4 linked regions of the Canis lupus familiaris genome follow. The protein of the gene in region 4 purifies or fractionates together with the protein of the main gene of each other region. This does not show direct contact. Links are inferred from orthologs where the notes say so. Each region holds a gene or a part of one and is shown on either strand. Other genes may lie near its edges.

Region 1 (4,222 bases), on a different chromosome or scaffold from region 4:
ACTCCATCAGACAGGGCTATAACGAATGATCCAATTACCTTATGGAGCTGCAATTTCATCCATAATAGGGTAAATTATGTACCTAAGCGCGACAGTTTGCATACAACAGCACAGTGCCAGGCATATAGTGAGGGCTCCAAAAAAAGATTATTATTGGAATACAAACTTATGCAGCCAAAAACTATTTGACTCCACTCACCAGGCACTATGTTAAACTGGGGCTAAGTGCTGAGCAAAATCGACACTCTCTAGATGATTCTTTTTTGTCAAAGGCAAAATCTATCTATTCAGGTAGCTAGGGGCTGCAGAGCTCTGACTTGCCGCACAGCTGCTCTGCACTCACAGGCAGTCGGTAGATACTCGAAAACCAAGTATCAGGCAGAAAATTTTCATTGCCGTGGGTCTTTGGTAAAAAGGAGTGACTGTTTTCGTGACTTGAAACAATTTCCATTTTTAAATATTAATCTAAAGGGTCCTCCTATCATAGCTGGGGAAGGTCCCTTTAATATGCGTCCCATTTAGAGTCCTTAGCTCAGCGGGTCATTTCTTGCAAATCCTGCTCCGACCATTTTAAGCTAAAGGCGGCACGTGTTCCCGGGTCTGGGGAATTCAGGGGTGTTCTCCCAGATTCCGAGCACTGGGGTCGCCGAGCCCCCTTCCCTTCTCTCCCCCCAGCCCTCTAAGCGTCTGTACGCTGAGTGCAGAGATGCGAGGCCGCGCCGCGTGCGCCCGCCGCCGGCTTATAAAAATGCGCGTCTCGTGTGCGGGGAGATCACGTCCGGCTGCGCGGGTCGGGGCACAGCACGCCGCAGGCTGCAACGACGGGGCGGATCTGGGGCGGACCTGGGGCGGACCTGGGGCGGCGGGCACCCTCGGCCTGGGGCTGGTGCAGGGGATCGAGAAGGATCTGGAAGAATCTGGTTAGACCGGGAAACGGGCGGGGGAGGGCCAGGGAAGGGCGCTCGGGTGGGGGTGGGGTGCGGGTGAGCGGGGGAAGCCCCCGCAGTCCGAGGGCCCCAGCGTGGGGAGAGGGAGGCCAGGCGGCCGCAGGGAGGAAAGAACCGGGGGAAAGGGGAAAAAAAAAAAAAAAAAAAAAAAACCCACCCGAAGCCCAAGCCGCGCACATTCACACAGGCACCCCGAGCAGCAGGGCCCGAACTGGCTCGGCGGCCGCCGTCTCCAGAAAGTTCTCCGCCCCCGCCCCCTCCGCCCCTCGCTCCCGCCCCTGCGCCTCCCAGCCCCTCCCTCCGCGGCGGGTGGCACCAATCGCTCCCCGCGGCCGCTCATTACCCACCGACTCCCGCTCCCGCGCCGAACCCGCCGCGGGCCGCGAGCGCGCCGGAGCCAGCGGTGTTGGAGCCCGAGGCCGGTGCGCAGCCGGGCGGCCGCCGCCAGCGCCCTCCCGCCCGCCTCCCCCAGCAGACGGCCCGGCTCCCGGCTCCCGGCGTAAACGGCGCACCGAGCGGCGATGACCGCCGAGGAGATGAAGGCGGCCGAGAGCGGGGCGCAGTCGGCGCCGCTTCCCCTCGAGGGGGTGGATGTCAGCCCCAAGCAGGACGAAGGCGTGCTGAAGGTACGCGGCGGCGGCGCGGGCGGCCGGCCTCCCGCCGAGCCGGGGACCCCCGGGCGCCCCTGCAGCGTCCGCGCGCGCCGTGAGCCGGGCGTGCGCCCGCGGCCCCGTGCATCGCCCTCCCGGCCCGGGCTGCGTTGTCGGGCGGCGGGGTGCGCGGGGGCCTCGGCCGTTCCGCGGCGTCCGGGCCCGACCGCAGCGCCAACTCCGGCGTGCGCGGTGCAGCGCGGAGGGAGGGGCGGGGCCGCCGGTGGCACGCGAGGTGCCGCCAGGGGGCCCGGGCCGGCCCCGACGCCGCCCGCCGCCCCCCGCACCCGGCCCCGGCCCCGCCGCCCCGCCGCCCCGCCGCCAGCTGCAGCCGGGAAGCCCCTGGACGCGTCCGCGGGCGCTGCTGCGAGATCTCGGCTGCCTCGGGCAGTTAAACATGAGCTCGGACCCGGAGCGGCCACCGGACTGATTCTCCTGGCCCAGAGGTTCTGCTGCGACCTGGCCCGGCCCGGGGCCTGGCGCCAGCAGAGCCGGTGGCGCCCTCCGTCCCCCCGGCGGCCCCCTTCCCAGAGGCTGGGACCCAGCGAGGTCACCGGCCCAGCCATGCTGGCCCCCTCCCCCCGCCCCCGCCCCGGGAGGGCCAGCGAGCGGCATGCCGGGACCTGTAGTTCCCCTCCCCCTCGTGAGCCGGGGCCGGGCTGCGGGCCGGGAGGAGGTGCTCTGCTGGGAGCCGCGGAGCCGCGGAGGGAGGGGGCCGGGCCTCGGGGGGCAGGGCATCTTGACCTGGGTCAGGGCGACTTGATGGTGCTTCAGAGCAGGTTCTGTGCAGTACAGGATGGCGAAATCCCAGGCTGGATTTCATGCCTCCTCCTCATGCAGTGTTTCTTTTCATCCTGGCTTCCCACTGCTTAGTTGCGTGAGAGAGAGCGAGAGAGACCTGGGCAAAGCTGGAGACCTCAGGGAACCCATAAACTGGTCCAGAAACGGTCCTGGTTTTGCCCAGATCTCGGAATCTTAAGCTGTTCTCCCAGTGAGCATGTGGCTTTCTCTTCTCTCTCCAGCGTCCTGATGGTTTCTACAAGTTTATTATTCCCAGAAGGGTCCTTTGCCCTTTTCTCTTCCACTCCCTCCCTTTTGTACTCTTCAAGGCTTCTGCCCATTCTGTTATGCAGGCTTTCCCTTAATAGGTAACCACATACGTTCCAGGTGATCCATGGAGTCTCCTTGTCCCCTTATATAAATGCTAAAGAAGAGCAGCAAATCTTCCTGAGAAAGGCTCTAGTTCTCAAAACACTTCACTTGCTTCCCAATCAAGTGAATGCTCCTGTCCTGAGTCTCAGTGCCCCTGTGCCCATCGGTGACCTGGTATTTTCACAGCCTCTTTTGGACTTCTGCGATCCTGTCCATTATTCTATTTCTGTCCACAAACCAGACCCTGATATGATGACCACCAGCATTTAGGAAGAATGAGGAAACCTAGCATAAATGGTTCTCTCTTTTCTACTGATAATAATTTTCAGCTTTTTACCAGTTTAATTCTCCAATCCTGATAGGGACTATTATCACCAGTCTACAAATAAAGTCTAGAAAGCTTGACTTATACAAGATCATAGAGCAAAAACTTGAACTCCGGGTTTCTGTTTTGAGTTTTCTTCTCTCTCTCTTTTTTTTTTTTTTTTTTTACAGATTTTGTTTGTTCATGAAAAATAGAGAGGTGGCAGAGACATAGGCAGAGGGAGAAACAGGCTCCCTGCAGGGAGCTTGATTCTGGACTTGATCCTGGGATCCTAGGATCATGACCTGAGCCTAAGGCAGATGCTCAACCACTGAGCCGCCCAGGCATCCCTGTCTTGAGGTTTTTGGTTTTCTTTTCTAAAAAAAAATTTTTTTTTTAAAAAAATTCATTCATGAGAGACACACAAGAGAGGGGCAGAGACACAGGCAGAGGGAGAAGCAGGCTCCATGCAGGGAGCCTGACGTGGCAGTTGATCCCGGGACTCCAGGATCCCAAGTCCTATTGCACCTCAAGAAAGATGGAGGCAGGGTGTCAGCTGGCTTCTAGCCAGACTTAATGTCACAATCACGGGAGGTTTAGTCCTTTTGCTTACAGTGTGACAGAAGGGTCCCTCTATGTTTGCATCAGAGTCTGTGTGGGCAGTTTAAGTGCCTCATTCAGCCCCCATGCCCCGGGAAAGCCAGCAAGCTTTCCCAGTACTCACCTTCTCTGCCTTCCTCCCAGGTCATCAAGCGAGAGGGCACAGGCACGGAGATGCCCATGATTGGGGACCGAGTCTTTGTCCACTACACTGGCTGGCTGTTAGATGGCACCAAGTTTGACTCCAGTCTGGACCGCAAGGACAAATTCTCCTTTGACCTGGGCAAAGGTAGGCACGGTTAGTGGGTTGGGAGCATCAGCTCTGCGGAGGGTGTAAGCTTTCACAAGCAGAAACCATACTTTCAGAAGCGTAAGGAGGAATGGTTTGTTCAGTCCATGAATTTTTCTCGTTAAACTCGTTTTTTCTTCTCCTCTGCTGGAACCGTGTTGATCTCTCTCTCTCACTCTCTATCTCTCTCTCACCTTCCCTAATCACCTTTGGACGCCTCAGTTCCTCTTCAGGGGTAGATTCCCTGGTTTCTTTCTTTTTTTTTTTTTTTTTTAAATTT
Region 2 (4,271 bases), on a different chromosome or scaffold from region 4:
CCCCATGACTTACGGTTTCCCAGAATTCTTACCTCGCCTCAGCAACAACCCTCATACTTGCTGCTCTTCCTCAGCCCCATTTCAGGGACAGCCAATCCCCAGCTGGAGACCATGCCTCATCCTGGACACCTCTCCCGACGACACCTCTCCCGACCCCTCAACCCCCCGAAGCCAGGCAGTTGCCATGTTCTGTCAAGGCAGCCTCCTGAACATCTCAGATCTATTCATCCACTTCCATCCCTCCAGCCCCGCCCTGCCCTGGTCTGGCCTTCAATCTGTCCACCTGCCCGGGTTCCTGCCTCAGCCTCCTCCCTGCTCTCCCAGCCTCCAGTCCTGCCCCTCTGTAGGGGTCCAGCTAAAGCACAAACCTAACCCTGTCCTTCCCTTTCTCAGAACTATCCATGGCTCCCCAGAGTCCACAGTAGAAAGCTCAGCATCCTCCCTTGCCTCCTACACTCCGGCTCCACTTACTTCCTTGAGGCTAGGTTCTGCTCACCTTTGCCAGGATAGGCCTCTGCCATCCTGTTCTTTCTGCCTGGCATTCCCTCCTCCCTCTCACCAGCCCTCATATCCTCTCTGAAACATTTCTTGTTGGTTTCTGACCAGAGACACCTCTTATCTACCTGTCCACCATCCTTGTCTCCTTCCTACCTCCAGCTCTGCCCTTGTATCCAATCTCAGCCCGGAAGCTGGGGAATCTTACCATGCCTCCCCACCACCCTCAGGATGACATCCACACTCCCTGAACTGGCCTCCAAGGCTCCGCCTCATCTCTCACTGGTCCTCTCCTCGTGGCTGCAGCCTGACCAAATGTTCCTGCTCTGAATCCCCTTGCGCTTCCACTGAAGGCCAACTGAAGGCTGCTAAGGCTCTAGATTCCAACCCCATTTCTTTTCCCCAGCTTTGCTGCCATAAGTCTCCCATCTCTCTTGTAGGATCAATTCCAGCTCTCTACTGGACCAGACTCTTGGACTCTTCCATCCTTTAAGAGAGAGAAAGAAAGCAAGCACCTCCCTCTCTCCATTTCTCCACTCCCTTTTAGGACCAAAATACTTGAACCACTTTGTCAACATTTGCTGTCTCTACTTCACTTCCTGTTCACCCTTGGGTGTTCTCCTAGCTAATTACCAACTTCATTGTTGCCCAAAACTGTTCTTATAAACTGCCCTTCTTAGGGCTACCACCAACATTCGTGAAGCCAAATCCAATGGTCAATGCTCAGTGCTCACCCTGGTAGCACCCGACCCAAGGTACAGCCCCCCTCCTTCTAGAAGCACTCTCTTCTCTCATCTTTCCTGACACCTTTCCCAACTTCCCTTTCACTTCACTGACCACTCCTCCTCAGCCTCTTCCTCTTCTTTTCTAAACATTAGAATTCCTCAAGGTTCCAGCCCCTTCTCTCCCTAGATGACCTCATCCATTTGCAGGTGTTCTATTCCATGCATAGGCTGATCAGGCCCAAATTCCTCTCCTTGCAGCTCCAGACTGGCCCATCTGTCAACTCAATGTCTCCTCTTGAATAGCCCAGTAAAATCCAAACCAGCTTTGCAATGACTTATGAAACCCCACCTGGTCTGGCCCCGGTCCTAAACTTATCTTGTATCCATCTCCCTGCTAACTTGCTAAAGCTTCCACCACACTAGTCTTTCATTTCCTACCTCAGGGCCTTTGCACATCTGGCTGCATCCACCTGAAACACTCCTTCGCGATTCTTCTCAAATGCCTTCTCAGTAAGGCTTTCCCTGACGACGCTCTCTATAAAGTAGCCTCCAGCCCTCATTCTCTCCTTCACACCCTGTTGGGGTCTGTTCAAAGCATTCTTCATAACTTCTAAGCATTTTATTATTTCTTGTGTTTTTGCTCAATGTCTTATTCTCCTGCTGAATTACAAGCTATAAAAGGGCAGGGCCACATCTGCTTCATTCCCTGCTAAATCCCCAGAGTCTGGCACAGTCCTTAGCGCAAAGCAGGTGCTCTAGAAATATAATGAATTACTGAATGAATGAGTGCCCCCACATCTTACTCTTTTTCAAGATCGGATGTCATACTATTCTTGGGATTTCCCCACCTTTACTCCCAGGGCCTCCCACGCATCCCTTTTTCTCGTGCAACCCCCAATCTCCTTGCCCTCCCATCTAATGATCTATTCCCCACCCCTACTCTACTGGGACAGTGCCCCCGCCCCCCCGCCCCATCTCCCCACTGGGTAGCACCATCACTCCCCAGCCCTGTGTCACTACTTGGCAGCGCCCTCTTCAGGCCTCACCACAACTAGCACCTCTCAAGGACCTCACGTTCGGAAATGCCCTCGCTCCCGTCCCCCTCCCGCCGCACACTTGGTAGCGCCCTCCCCAGTCTCCCCATTTAGTAGCACCCGCTCCGAATGCCGCTTCTAGGTATCACCCCTCCTGTCAGAAGCCCCCCCTGTCGGCCCCTGGTAGCGGCATCCTGGGCCTCCCCAAGCCCGGTCACTTGGTAGTGCCTGCCCCGCGCCCAGGCTGCCGCTCCGCGTTGCCATGGTTCCGCGCGGGCCGGGCACCCCTTGCCCCGGGCCGCTCTCCACCCTCCCTGGCCCCCTCCGGGGCAGGCGCACCTTTGAAGTAGTCGTTGGCCTGCGTCTTGAGCTCCTCTGCCCGCTTCAGAGCGCCATCAGCCGGGGGCTCGTCCCGGGGGGGCTCAGCACACTCAGTCCGCTCGCCCTCCGCCATCGCCATGCCGCAAAGCGACCCCCACCCTGGCAACGGCCGCCAGCGGCACCCGGCCGAATCGTCGCGAAGGAGTGCCGAGTTGCTGCGGCCGCTGCTGCACAAGTGTCGTAAAGCGCGGGCCCCGAAGGCTCCCTTCGCGCGCCTGCGCAGGGCCCTTTCGCCATAGAGCGCGCGGAGGACAAGGTGACCAGAGGGACCCTAGACAGCGCCCTTCGTAGAAGGAGCCAATGGGGAGGGCGAAAGGGGGCGCGCGGGGCGGGGGCGAGCGGGGAAGGTCTGGCCGGGCCCGCGCTCGCGAAGTCGCCGTGTTCGAAGGCCGCCGAAGTTCTGGAGGGGTCTTCTTGGGTGGGTGGGTGTGGCTGCAAGGCAGCCCCACGCAGAACCAGAGCCGGGAGACTAGCCCTACGGCCGGTTATTTGGGTGACCTTGAGCAATTAGGGGCAATTACCCCCCTCTGAAAAATGCGTGGATTCTCAAACCAAGAGACTAAAGTTCCAACCCTGAAGGTTAACTGTATCTCCATCTGTTAACTGAAGGCGCTCTGGATGCCCTAGTCCTGAGCAAGGCCCAGAAGTTTGTTGCACCATCTCCTTTCTTCATCCTCATCTCCTAGTCCCCAGCCTGCAACAGTGGCCTTAGAAAAACCTAAACTCTTTCTACTGCATTACCTAGGAAACACTGAATAGGATAGCCCCAGGCGACATCTCCAGATGCACACACACACACCCCAACCATTACATCCTAGCAGACCATCCTCTCCAAGCCTTCAACTGCTCCTCCTGTGGAACTATGGCACTAAATCATTTAAGGCCCTGCTGGAGCTCCCATCCTACAACCACAGCTGTCCCACTTCTCAGTCGCCTTGTCCTGACAGCCTGATCCCACCACCTCGTATCATAGCCAACAATCAGCCTAGAAAGTAGATTATAGTATCAGCTCCATTTTACCACTGAGGACACCGAGGTTTGTAGAAGTCAACCAACTTCCCCAAGGTCATACAAGGAGAGTGGCAGAGCCAGGACTTCACCTTGTCCCATCTGATTCTGTGCTCTTAAGCCCTACTCCACTGTCCCTAGACTCTAGATTTTTGAGATTTTTAGAAGTGTGTATGGGAAGGCTGCTGTGATGGATTTGAATCCCGGATTCGAATCCAGCTCAGTCCTTCCCTGCTGTGTGACCCTGGCAAGTGATCATCCTCTGAACCTGTTTCCTCTTCTGTAAAATGGGGACAATAACTGTGCTTATTATATATGATTAGCGGAAATTTGATAAGATCATAGGAATAAAGTATTTGGCAGAGGGCCTAACACAGAGTAAGCACTTTTTATACACAGTCCAATAAAATACTCAGAGTGGTATCGAGTACCTAGACCTGAGAGGGGAGAGGAGGGGCTCACCCTGTTGGACAAGCAGGGAAGAGTTCCTGGAGGAGGGAATGTTTGAACCAAGAGCTGAAAATGAGTAGGAGATAACCAAGTGTGAAGGAGGAAGGAAGAAAAAAGCATTTTAGGCAAGGGAGCAACGAGGCCTGAAAGTTTTATTTCTTTAGTAGAGCACGTGGCT
Region 3 (4,008 bases), on a different chromosome or scaffold from region 4:
AAAGGATAAGAAATAGTTTGGGTTTTTTTTTCCCCCTGTGGGAGAAGGGCAGGGGGGTAGGGAAGTAGCAGATTTTACCCTCTATGCTTTAATATTTGAGAATTCTCCTCCTACTCCCTTGAAGGTCCAGGAGACATATATGTGTTCTAATGCAGCTGGACAGACTGGTTTGTTCTTAGACATAATCAAATAGTTGACAGAGAAAATGGTGCTACATCTATGAGAACAACCTAACCGCGAATCCTAAACTAATCGAATTTAACAGAAATCATAGAGTGGTGTACAAGGATATTTCCAGTTTCATAGGTATCATGGTGTCATTATTTCTGGTGTGTTATTTTAGCTGATTTCAAATGACTCCTTGGGGAGAGAGAAGAAATGAACCGTGGGTCTTAAGAGAAGTTCACCCAAGCCAAACAGAAAAAAGTGGCGTGGATGGGGACAGATGCAGTGGTACCGCCCCAACGCACGTGGCAGCCCTGGTGTCGGGTCTAAGACAACAGTCAGCTACAATAACAAAAGTTATTGAGAAAAAGGAAAAACAAAGCACACCCTGTCCCATAGGGCAGGGTGATTTGTGGAGCGGAATCTGACCATACACTGAAGTTGTAAGGTTGGGGGCGTGTACAGTAGATACAGTCAGGACGCTCACTGCTAAAGAGAAGCATCTCTCAGCTCCGCTTCTCCCCTCTGAACCCAGAGGGATTTGATCTCTAATTCACTGCAGGAGCGCACTGGGAACTGCCATCTGAGTACCTACTATGTGCCTGGCGCTGTGATCTTCTCTCACAGGATGGACTCCAGGAATCACCAGGATTCCCGATGGAGGGGAGCACCTTCCGTGCTGGGTGACCCCGCTTTGCTCCTGCCACTCCAGACACCCACACTGCTTCAGACTCCGAGCCACAGCGAGGCTCAGAAGATCAAGGGACCAGTCACAGCAGCCTTTTTAACTTTGGGAAAACCCAATGCTCACTTCACTCAAACGTTGCAAAGTGGTGCCATGACCCTTTAGCTCTTGACTCACCAATTCAAAGAGCCACATCACATACAGCCCTTAAGCTGCCCACGGCATGATTCTGCGTCTAGTGCCTTTCCAGGTCCCCCCAAGCGGAAGACAGTTCTGGCAGGGAGTCTGGGCAAGATTACTATAATATTTAGCCTTTGTCCCTTCTTTCGCTATGTCTTATCATAGAATAAGGCACACGTGTCTGGGAAACTGGGTCCTTTGGTGTATGGTGGACTTGAGACCTGTCCTCAAAGGGTCCCTGCGGGACCTCAGGTCAGTGTAATCTGACCCAAGAAGCTCCATTTCCAAGATGAAGAAACTGAGATTCAAAGAAAGTAAAGCACGGTCCACTCTTCAGAGAGCAGCGGTAGGTTGGGTACAAACCTAATTCAACGCCATGCTTCGTGTCTCTGGAAGTTTCCTGGGCACCCAAACCAGCAGGACATGGGCAGAACTGGAGAGAACAGACTCCATTCCCTTAACCATTGGTGTGAGGATACAGATACACAACCACACTTCCTATCTGGGCCCGTAAAATGGAGAGAAGTGTGTCGGGACTCGGGAATGTGCCTTTGGGGTCTGAAACCATCATACAGCTTGAGGATATAATTATGTGTGGGTGCCTATGAACAGAGACCTATGTGAGTATACGTATGTATATTTTTATACACGACACGCTACTATTAAATACCATTTCCGACCACACATTTTGCCTAATTGCCCCGGAGGCCACGTTTTCAAAAGAAGAATCCCAAAGCGAGGTCAGGTGCGTCCGCCCTCACCGCAGCCCTTCAGAACCCCGGGGTGCGCGGTCCGTACCCCTCCGGCTTCTCTCCAAACAGCAGCGCAGAGTGAGAAGGAAGAGGAGGAGCCGAGTACTTTACACGAAATGTTAACTGTCAAGAAGTTCCCAGGAGGTGGCCGGGCCGGGCCGGGCTGGGGCTGGGGGGTGGGCTGAGCTGGGGGTGGGCTGGGGTGAGCTGGGGTGAGCTGGGGTGGGCTGGGGTGAGCTGGGGTGGGCCGGGCTGCGGTGGGGGTGGTGGGGGGTGCAGGACGGAACACGCCGCAGGAGGCCCAGGTGGAGGGCTGCAGGCTGCGGCTGCTCCAACCTGGGCCTGGGCCGGGCCGCCGATGCTCCAAGCGGGCAGCGCGCGCTCGCGCCCGGGACGCGCCTGGCTCGGCGCCCACGTCTGAGGCCAGGACCCTGCGCTCCCGCGTGAGCCCATCCGGCGCAAGCAAGTGGGAGAGCGCAGGCCGCGCGGCGGGCCCTCGGCGGCTCTGTCCCCACGCACGTGGCGCGGCTCGCGCGGGGGCACAGCGCGCCTCCCGCCCGCCCGGGGGCGGCCTCCGCCCGAGCGGCCGGCGCTAGGACCCCGCGCGCCGCGCACTTCCCCCGCCGCGGCGCCCGCCCGCCCCGCCCCCGCCCGCGCGCCCCGCCCCGCCCCCGCCCCCGCCCCCGCCCCCGCCCGCCGCCCCCGCCGCCCCCGCCGCCCCCGCCCTACCTGGCGAAGCAGTACTCGCAGTGGTTGCCCCGCTCGTTGACCGTGAGCACGTAGGCGTAGGCCGGGCAGGAGAAGAGCAGGTCCCCCACGTGGAAGGGCTGCAGGGCCCGCAGCCCCCGGCCCTTGCCCGGGCTGCAGAAGCGCTCCAGGCCGCCGTCGCCCGCCGCCCTCATGCCGGCAGCGGGGCGGGACCGGCGGGACCGGCGGGACCGGCGGGACCGGCGCCCCGAGCCGAGGCGCCCCGCGAGCTGTTATTGGAGAAGCGTCACCCAGAGCCGCGGGGAGGGAGGCCGCCGCTCCCCGGAAGGGACGCCGGCCCCGCCCGGCCCTCGCGCGCCCCCGGGGGCGGGGGGGAGGGGAGGGAGGAGGAGGAGGGGAGGGGAGGGGAGGGGAGGGGAGGGGAACCCGCCCGCGGCCCCGCCCCCCGCCCCTCGGCCGCCCGCCCCGGGCGCTTGGGGCGTCCCCGCGGGAGGGCGGACGCGGCCCCTGGTCCGTGCGTGGGCGGCGGGGGATGCACGGCCTGGGGGGGGCGGGGCAGACGGGCCGCCTGGGCCCCGCGCAGCGGACGGAGCTGTGTCTGCACCTTGTGTGCCCTGCCCTCGCCCGAGGCCCTACACGGGGTCCCCCCGAGAGGCCGAGGCCCTAGACGGGGTCACCCTGGGGCGCCCAAGACCCTACATGGGGTCCCCCCGGGCGCCCGGGAGAGGCCGAGACCCTAGACGGGGTCACCCTGGGGCGCCCGAGACCCTACACGGGGTCCCCCCGGGGCGCCCGGGAGAGGCCGAGACCCTAGACGGGGTCACCCTGGGGCGCCCGAGACCCTACACGGGGTACCCCCGGGGCGCCCGGGAGAGGCCGAGGCCCTAGGCGGGGTCACCCTGGAGCACCTGAGACCCTACATGGGGTCCCCCCGGGGCGCCCGGGAGAGGCCGAGGCCCTAGACGGGGTCACCCTGGGGCGCCCAGGAGAGGCCGCACAGTGTGGGATGCGCTGAGGGTTCAAGGGCGCCTTCCAAAGGTCAAAGGCTTGGAAGCCTCCTGAGGCTGCAGACCTTGCAGGAGTCTCCGGAGTATTCATTTTTTTTTTTTTTCTCCGGAGTATTCAGATGGGAACCTTTGCCCCTCTCGTGGAAATTAATTACATGGACAGAAGAGGAAAAGTCAGGTCAGCCTGGAGCACTGAGTCTCTGCTTTCAAGAAACTTCCTCTTCCCCGAGAAAACGGGAGATAATCTGGCCTTCAAAGAACTTAAACCCTTCCAGGGTCCCAAGTGCCATTGTGCAGCCAGAACCCTGGGCTGGAATTTGCAGTGGTCTTGATCCCTTGGACCCCTCCCTGTCATCTCAGGAAAGCTCATTTGGTTGCAAGTCACCCAGGATTTGGAAGGAACATGTGTAGCTCCTAGAATACTTAAGCCCTGAAGCCCATACACATGCATGCTGTTGGTGTCACTCCTCTGAGAAAGTAGGGTGTGATATCTGTGTTGCTACAAAGGATG
Region 4 (4,171 bases):
GAATCGTTCTGGAGATAGAGCAGTCAACAAAACAAAACTTACATTCAAGTTAAATGTAGTCCAAAAATATTAAGAAATATTGGGGAAGGGGGGTAAAGGGATCAGGTCCATTACTAACTACAGTTTATCTTAATGTGTACATAGGTAACACATCACAACACTCAAACAAAACAAAACAAAAACTTTCTCTGGTTATTCGTACAGCTGAGCTTTGAATATGAGAGTTAAGGGCACCAACCCCTTAACAAAGATGAAAATCCAAGCATAATTTAGGACTCCCCTAAAACTTTACTAATAACCTACTGTTGACCAGACTCTTTATCCAAATGTAAACAATAAACACATACTTTGTATATCATATGTTATACACTGTATATTCTTCCAATGAAACTAGAGGAAAAAGGGCAGCCCAAGAGACGCAGCTAAAGCAGCTGTTTAGCATCGCCTGCAGCCCCAGGGCGTGATCCTGGAGTCCTGGGATCGAGTCCCATGTCGGGTCGGGTTCCCTGCATGGAGCCTGGTTCTCCCTCTGCCTGTGTCTCTGCCTCTCTCTCTCTCTCTGTGCCTCTATGAATAAATAAAATCTTGAAAAGAAAGGAAAGAAAGGAAAGAAAGGAAGAAAGAAACTAGAGAAAAAAAAAACAATGTTGAGAAAGTCCTTAAAAAAAAAAAAATTTCACAGGGGCACCTGGGTGGCTCAGGCAGTTAAGGGAGTCAGACTCTTGTCTTGATCTTAGGTCAGGTCTTCATCTCAGAGTTGTGAGTCAAAGCCCCACCCTGGGCTCCACAATGGCTGTAGAACTTACTTAAAAAAAAAAAAAAAAAAAAAAAGGGATCCCTGGGTGGCGCAGCAATTTGGTGCCTGCCTTTGGCCCAGGGCGAGATCCTGGAGACCCGAGATCGAATCCCACATCGGGCTCCCGGTGCATGGAGCCTGCTTCTCCCTCTGCCTGTGTCTCTGCCTCTCTCTCTCTCTCTATCATAAATAAATAAAAATTTAAAAAACAAAAAAAAAGGGTGTGTGTGTGTGCGCGCGCGCGCATGCCTGGATGGCTCAGTTGGTTAAAATCTTAAAAAAGAGGGCAGCCCGGGTGGCTCAGCAGTTTAGTGCGGCTTTTAGCCCAGGTTGTGATCCTGGGGACCTGGGATCAAGTCCCAAGTCAGGCTCCCTGCATGGAGCCTGCTTCTCCCTCTGCCTGTGTCTCTGCCTCTCTCTCTCCCTGTGTCTTTCATGAATAAATAAATAAAATCTTAAAAAAAAAAATCTTAAAAAAAAAAAAATACACTAACCTTATTGTATTTATTGGAAAAGATTTGCCTAAATGGACCCACACAGTTCAAACCCGTGTTACTCAAGAATCAACTGTACTTAGTTTTTTTTTTTTTTTTTTTAATTCATGTATTCATGAGACACACAAAGAGAGGCAGAGACATAGGCAGAGGGAGAAGCAGGCTCCCCACAGGGAGCCCAATGTGGGACTCCATCCCAAGATCACAACCGGAGGTGAAGGTGGACACTCAACCACTGAGCCACCCAGGTGCCCCAATGAGTTTCCTTTCAAGTTAACTCTTAATGGAGCACCATTATTTTTCTGAATTACAGGATCACTTTGAATTCTAAGATAAAACAATAGAAATCAGAAGACTAGCTTTTTACTAAATCTTAACCTAGTATTTTCTAGGTTTAGAAGTAAACATTTCTATTTAATAGGAAGCTTCTTAAACACTAGATTCGATGATCTCTTATACATCTCAGAGTATCTTTAAACGTCATAAAAGAGGGCAGCCCTGGTGGCGCAGCGGTTTGGTGCTGCCTGCAGCCCAGGGCATGATCCTGGAGACCCTGGATCGAGTCCCACGTCGGGCTCTCTGCATGGAGCCTGCTTCTCCCTCTGCCTGTGTCTCTGCCTCTCTCTCTCTCTCTCTCTCTCTCTCTGCATCTCTATGAATAAATAAATAAAATCTTTAAAAAAAAAACATTTAAAAAAATAAACATCATAAAAGATTATAAAAGAAAAATCATTAAAACCAAGGAAAAAAATCAGCAATAAAGAGGTTATAAAATTCAGAATTACTGATTTTTTTAAAACTAAGTTTGTCAAATAGTCTATTATTTACAAAAAGGAATCAAGACACAGGTAAATCTTTTTTAGTTTGTACTAAGTGAGGAATGATATGGAAACATGAAATTCTGCTATTAGAAAGGAAAAAAGTAGTTCCTTTTTGGACTGGGCTTTTGACTGCACATAAATTGAGCAGTGAAAAGCCCTGTCCACAAATGTCTAAAAATCCAACACTCTTTTTTTTAAAGATTTTATTTATTCATGAGATACACAGAGAGAGGGAGAGAGAGGCAGAGACACAAGCAGAGGCAGAAACAGGCTCCATGCAAGGAGGCCGTGGGGACTCGAACCCGAGACTCCAGGATCTCGTCCTGGGCAGAAGGCAGGCACTAAACTGCTGAGCCACCCAGGGATCCCCAATCCAACACTCTCTTATGCACATATTCTTTCTTCAAACAAAACCCAAGATATGCTTCTCATACTTTCAGAGTATCTGTATGTCAGTTGTACTACCATGTAAAACTTTCTAGATAGGTGATCTGAATACACATGCTGACCCAGTTGCTTCCAAATTACTTGCCAAGGTGCATCAGGGCACCACAAGAAACTTACTGGGTTGCTGCAAGATATTTTAAATTTGAGAAAAATTTAGTGATACTCAACCTCAGTTCAGACACCAGGTGGTTCAGTTTTAAAGCAGACTGCACCACATCCCTCTCCATTAATCTTCATTTCTCCAAAGTTAGAATTTTGGTGTTGCTGTGATTTAGAGGAAAAAAAGGGGGGGTGGGGGGGGAGAAAGGGACCCATAAAAAAAAACAAAACAGTAGAGAACAGAAGTTGAGATAGACATATCTAATCTGAATTCAAGTTATAAGAAGTTATACAGTGCCCAAAGGGCATTCATATTCTGTAACTGTGGTTATTAAAAACAAAACAAAACAAAAAACCTTTTTCTTTCAATTTTTGTGTATTTGCTTTTCAAAGACTACTAGGTTGTTCGGATAAATTACTTAAGTTGTTTTGACCTAACTACCTAACTAACAGAACTGCTAGGTTACTTCTTTTGGCCAGCAACACCATTAAAAAAAAAAAAAAAAAAAAAAAAAGGAAACAACAAAAAACCTACTAAGACATAAAAGGGCAAACCAAGAACATTTGTGAACCTGTGTTATTAGTTCCTTTATTTGGTAATTCCTACTCTAAACGTAAAAGTGAAAGCTGTTCTTAAAGATGGTATTTCTCCCAAGACTTAGCGCCTTTCTTCCAAGCAACTCCAACCTTCCTACACTCCCACTTTTGTGCATTCTTTTAAATATCTCCAAAGCAGATATAGTAATTTTTCTTCAGACAAATAAGACTCAAAAAAAAAAAAAAGAACAAATAAGACTCAAGGTCAACGTTCTCAGTGCCTCCAGTAGAGAAAAATTTCAGAGCCTCTGGACTCCATTATCGTATGTCAAGAAGTGGCACAGGTTTTAACAGAAACAGTTTACATAATAAGACAGAACTAGAGAGACATAGTTATTTCTTTGGAAATAAAAGGATCACTGGGAAATTATTCTTCCTTTCTGTAAAGTGGAAAAAATAACCTTTCTGTCAGAAATCCTGAGTTCCAATTCTATCTAGGACAACTCCTTATACTAATTAGCACTGTGTGAACTAGTATTTATGGAACTTAAATATATACTAAAATTTTTAAGAACACCTGTCTGTGACTTAGAGCCTTCCGTACACAAAGATAATTAAAATGCTGAGCTGGAAAGGACCCTGACAAATACTTTTTTAATAATAAAGTATGACAACATGTGAAGATCAACTACTGTACAGAAAATGCACTAAAGCACATTATGGCTTTGGAATACAATAGGGGGAAGAACATACTACTGCTCAAGGTAATGTGTAAAGTAATTGGCATCTTCCTGAAAAACCAGAAGTTCAAAGGTGTCCTAGGGAAACAGAGAAGTCAGCCTCAATTTAAAATCACTGTCAATCTACACAGTACATAATAAAGTTTACTACAATACATATTGTACTTCTGTAACAGAATACACTAGGATCAACAATTTCCCATTTAGGAACTCAGAAAAAATATCTTAAGAATTTAT

What was found. The genes of interacting proteins can lie anywhere in the genome.
Region 1: the proteins of PTGES3 (region 4) and FKBP4 purify together in Homo sapiens (affinity purification with mass spectrometry; 3 studies listed by BioGRID and IntAct, with this or other methods). This does not show direct contact. The link is inferred for Canis lupus familiaris from reciprocal best matches to the Homo sapiens genes PTGES3 and FKBP4.
Region 2: the proteins of PTGES3 (region 4) and PPP5C purify together in Homo sapiens (affinity purification with mass spectrometry; 5 studies listed by BioGRID and IntAct, with this or other methods). This does not show direct contact. The link is inferred for Canis lupus familiaris from reciprocal best matches to the Homo sapiens genes PTGES3 and PPP5C.
Region 3: the proteins of PTGES3 (region 4) and SMYD2 purify together in Homo sapiens (affinity purification with mass spectrometry; 3 studies listed by BioGRID and IntAct, with this or other methods). This does not show direct contact. The link is inferred for Canis lupus familiaris from reciprocal best matches to the Homo sapiens genes PTGES3 and SMYD2.

Annotation. Positions count from the first base shown.
Region 1 is NC_049248.1:4,083,433-4,087,654, forward strand, and holds the start of FKBP4 (peptidyl-prolyl cis-trans isomerase FKBP4), read left to right. Parts: upstream 1-1,422; 5' UTR 1,423-1,468; coding exon 1,469-1,573; intron 1,574-1,917; exon of another isoform or gene 1,918-2,043; intron 2,044-3,797; coding exon 3,798-3,942; intron 3,943-4,222. UniProt on the Homo sapiens protein: Immunophilin protein with PPIase and co-chaperone activities. Component of steroid receptors heterocomplexes through interaction with heat-shock protein 90 (HSP90).
Region 2 is NC_049222.1:110,176,356-110,180,626, forward strand, and holds the start of PPP5C (serine/threonine-protein phosphatase 5), read right to left. Parts: upstream 2,801-4,271; 5' UTR 2,715-2,800; coding exon 2,594-2,714; intron 1-2,593. UniProt on the Homo sapiens protein: Serine/threonine-protein phosphatase that dephosphorylates a myriad of proteins involved in different signaling pathways including the kinases CSNK1E, ASK1/MAP3K5, PRKDC and RAF1, the nuclear receptors NR3C1, PPARG, ESR1 and ESR2, SMAD proteins and TAU/MAPT.
Region 3 is NC_049228.1:12,142,584-12,146,591, reverse strand, and holds the start of SMYD2 (N-lysine methyltransferase SMYD2), read right to left. Parts: upstream 2,801-4,008; 5' UTR 2,685-2,800; coding exon 2,512-2,684; intron 1-2,511. UniProt on the Homo sapiens protein: Protein-lysine N-methyltransferase that methylates both histones and non-histone proteins, including p53/TP53 and RB1. Specifically trimethylates histone H3 'Lys-4' (H3K4me3) in vivo. The activity requires interaction with HSP90alpha.
Region 4 is NC_049231.1:1,253,943-1,258,113, forward strand, and holds the start of PTGES3 (prostaglandin E synthase 3), read right to left. Parts: upstream 2,801-4,171; 5' UTR 2,786-2,800; coding exon 2,727-2,785; intron 1-2,726. UniProt on the Homo sapiens protein: Cytosolic prostaglandin synthase that catalyzes the oxidoreduction of prostaglandin endoperoxide H2 (PGH2) to prostaglandin E2 (PGE2).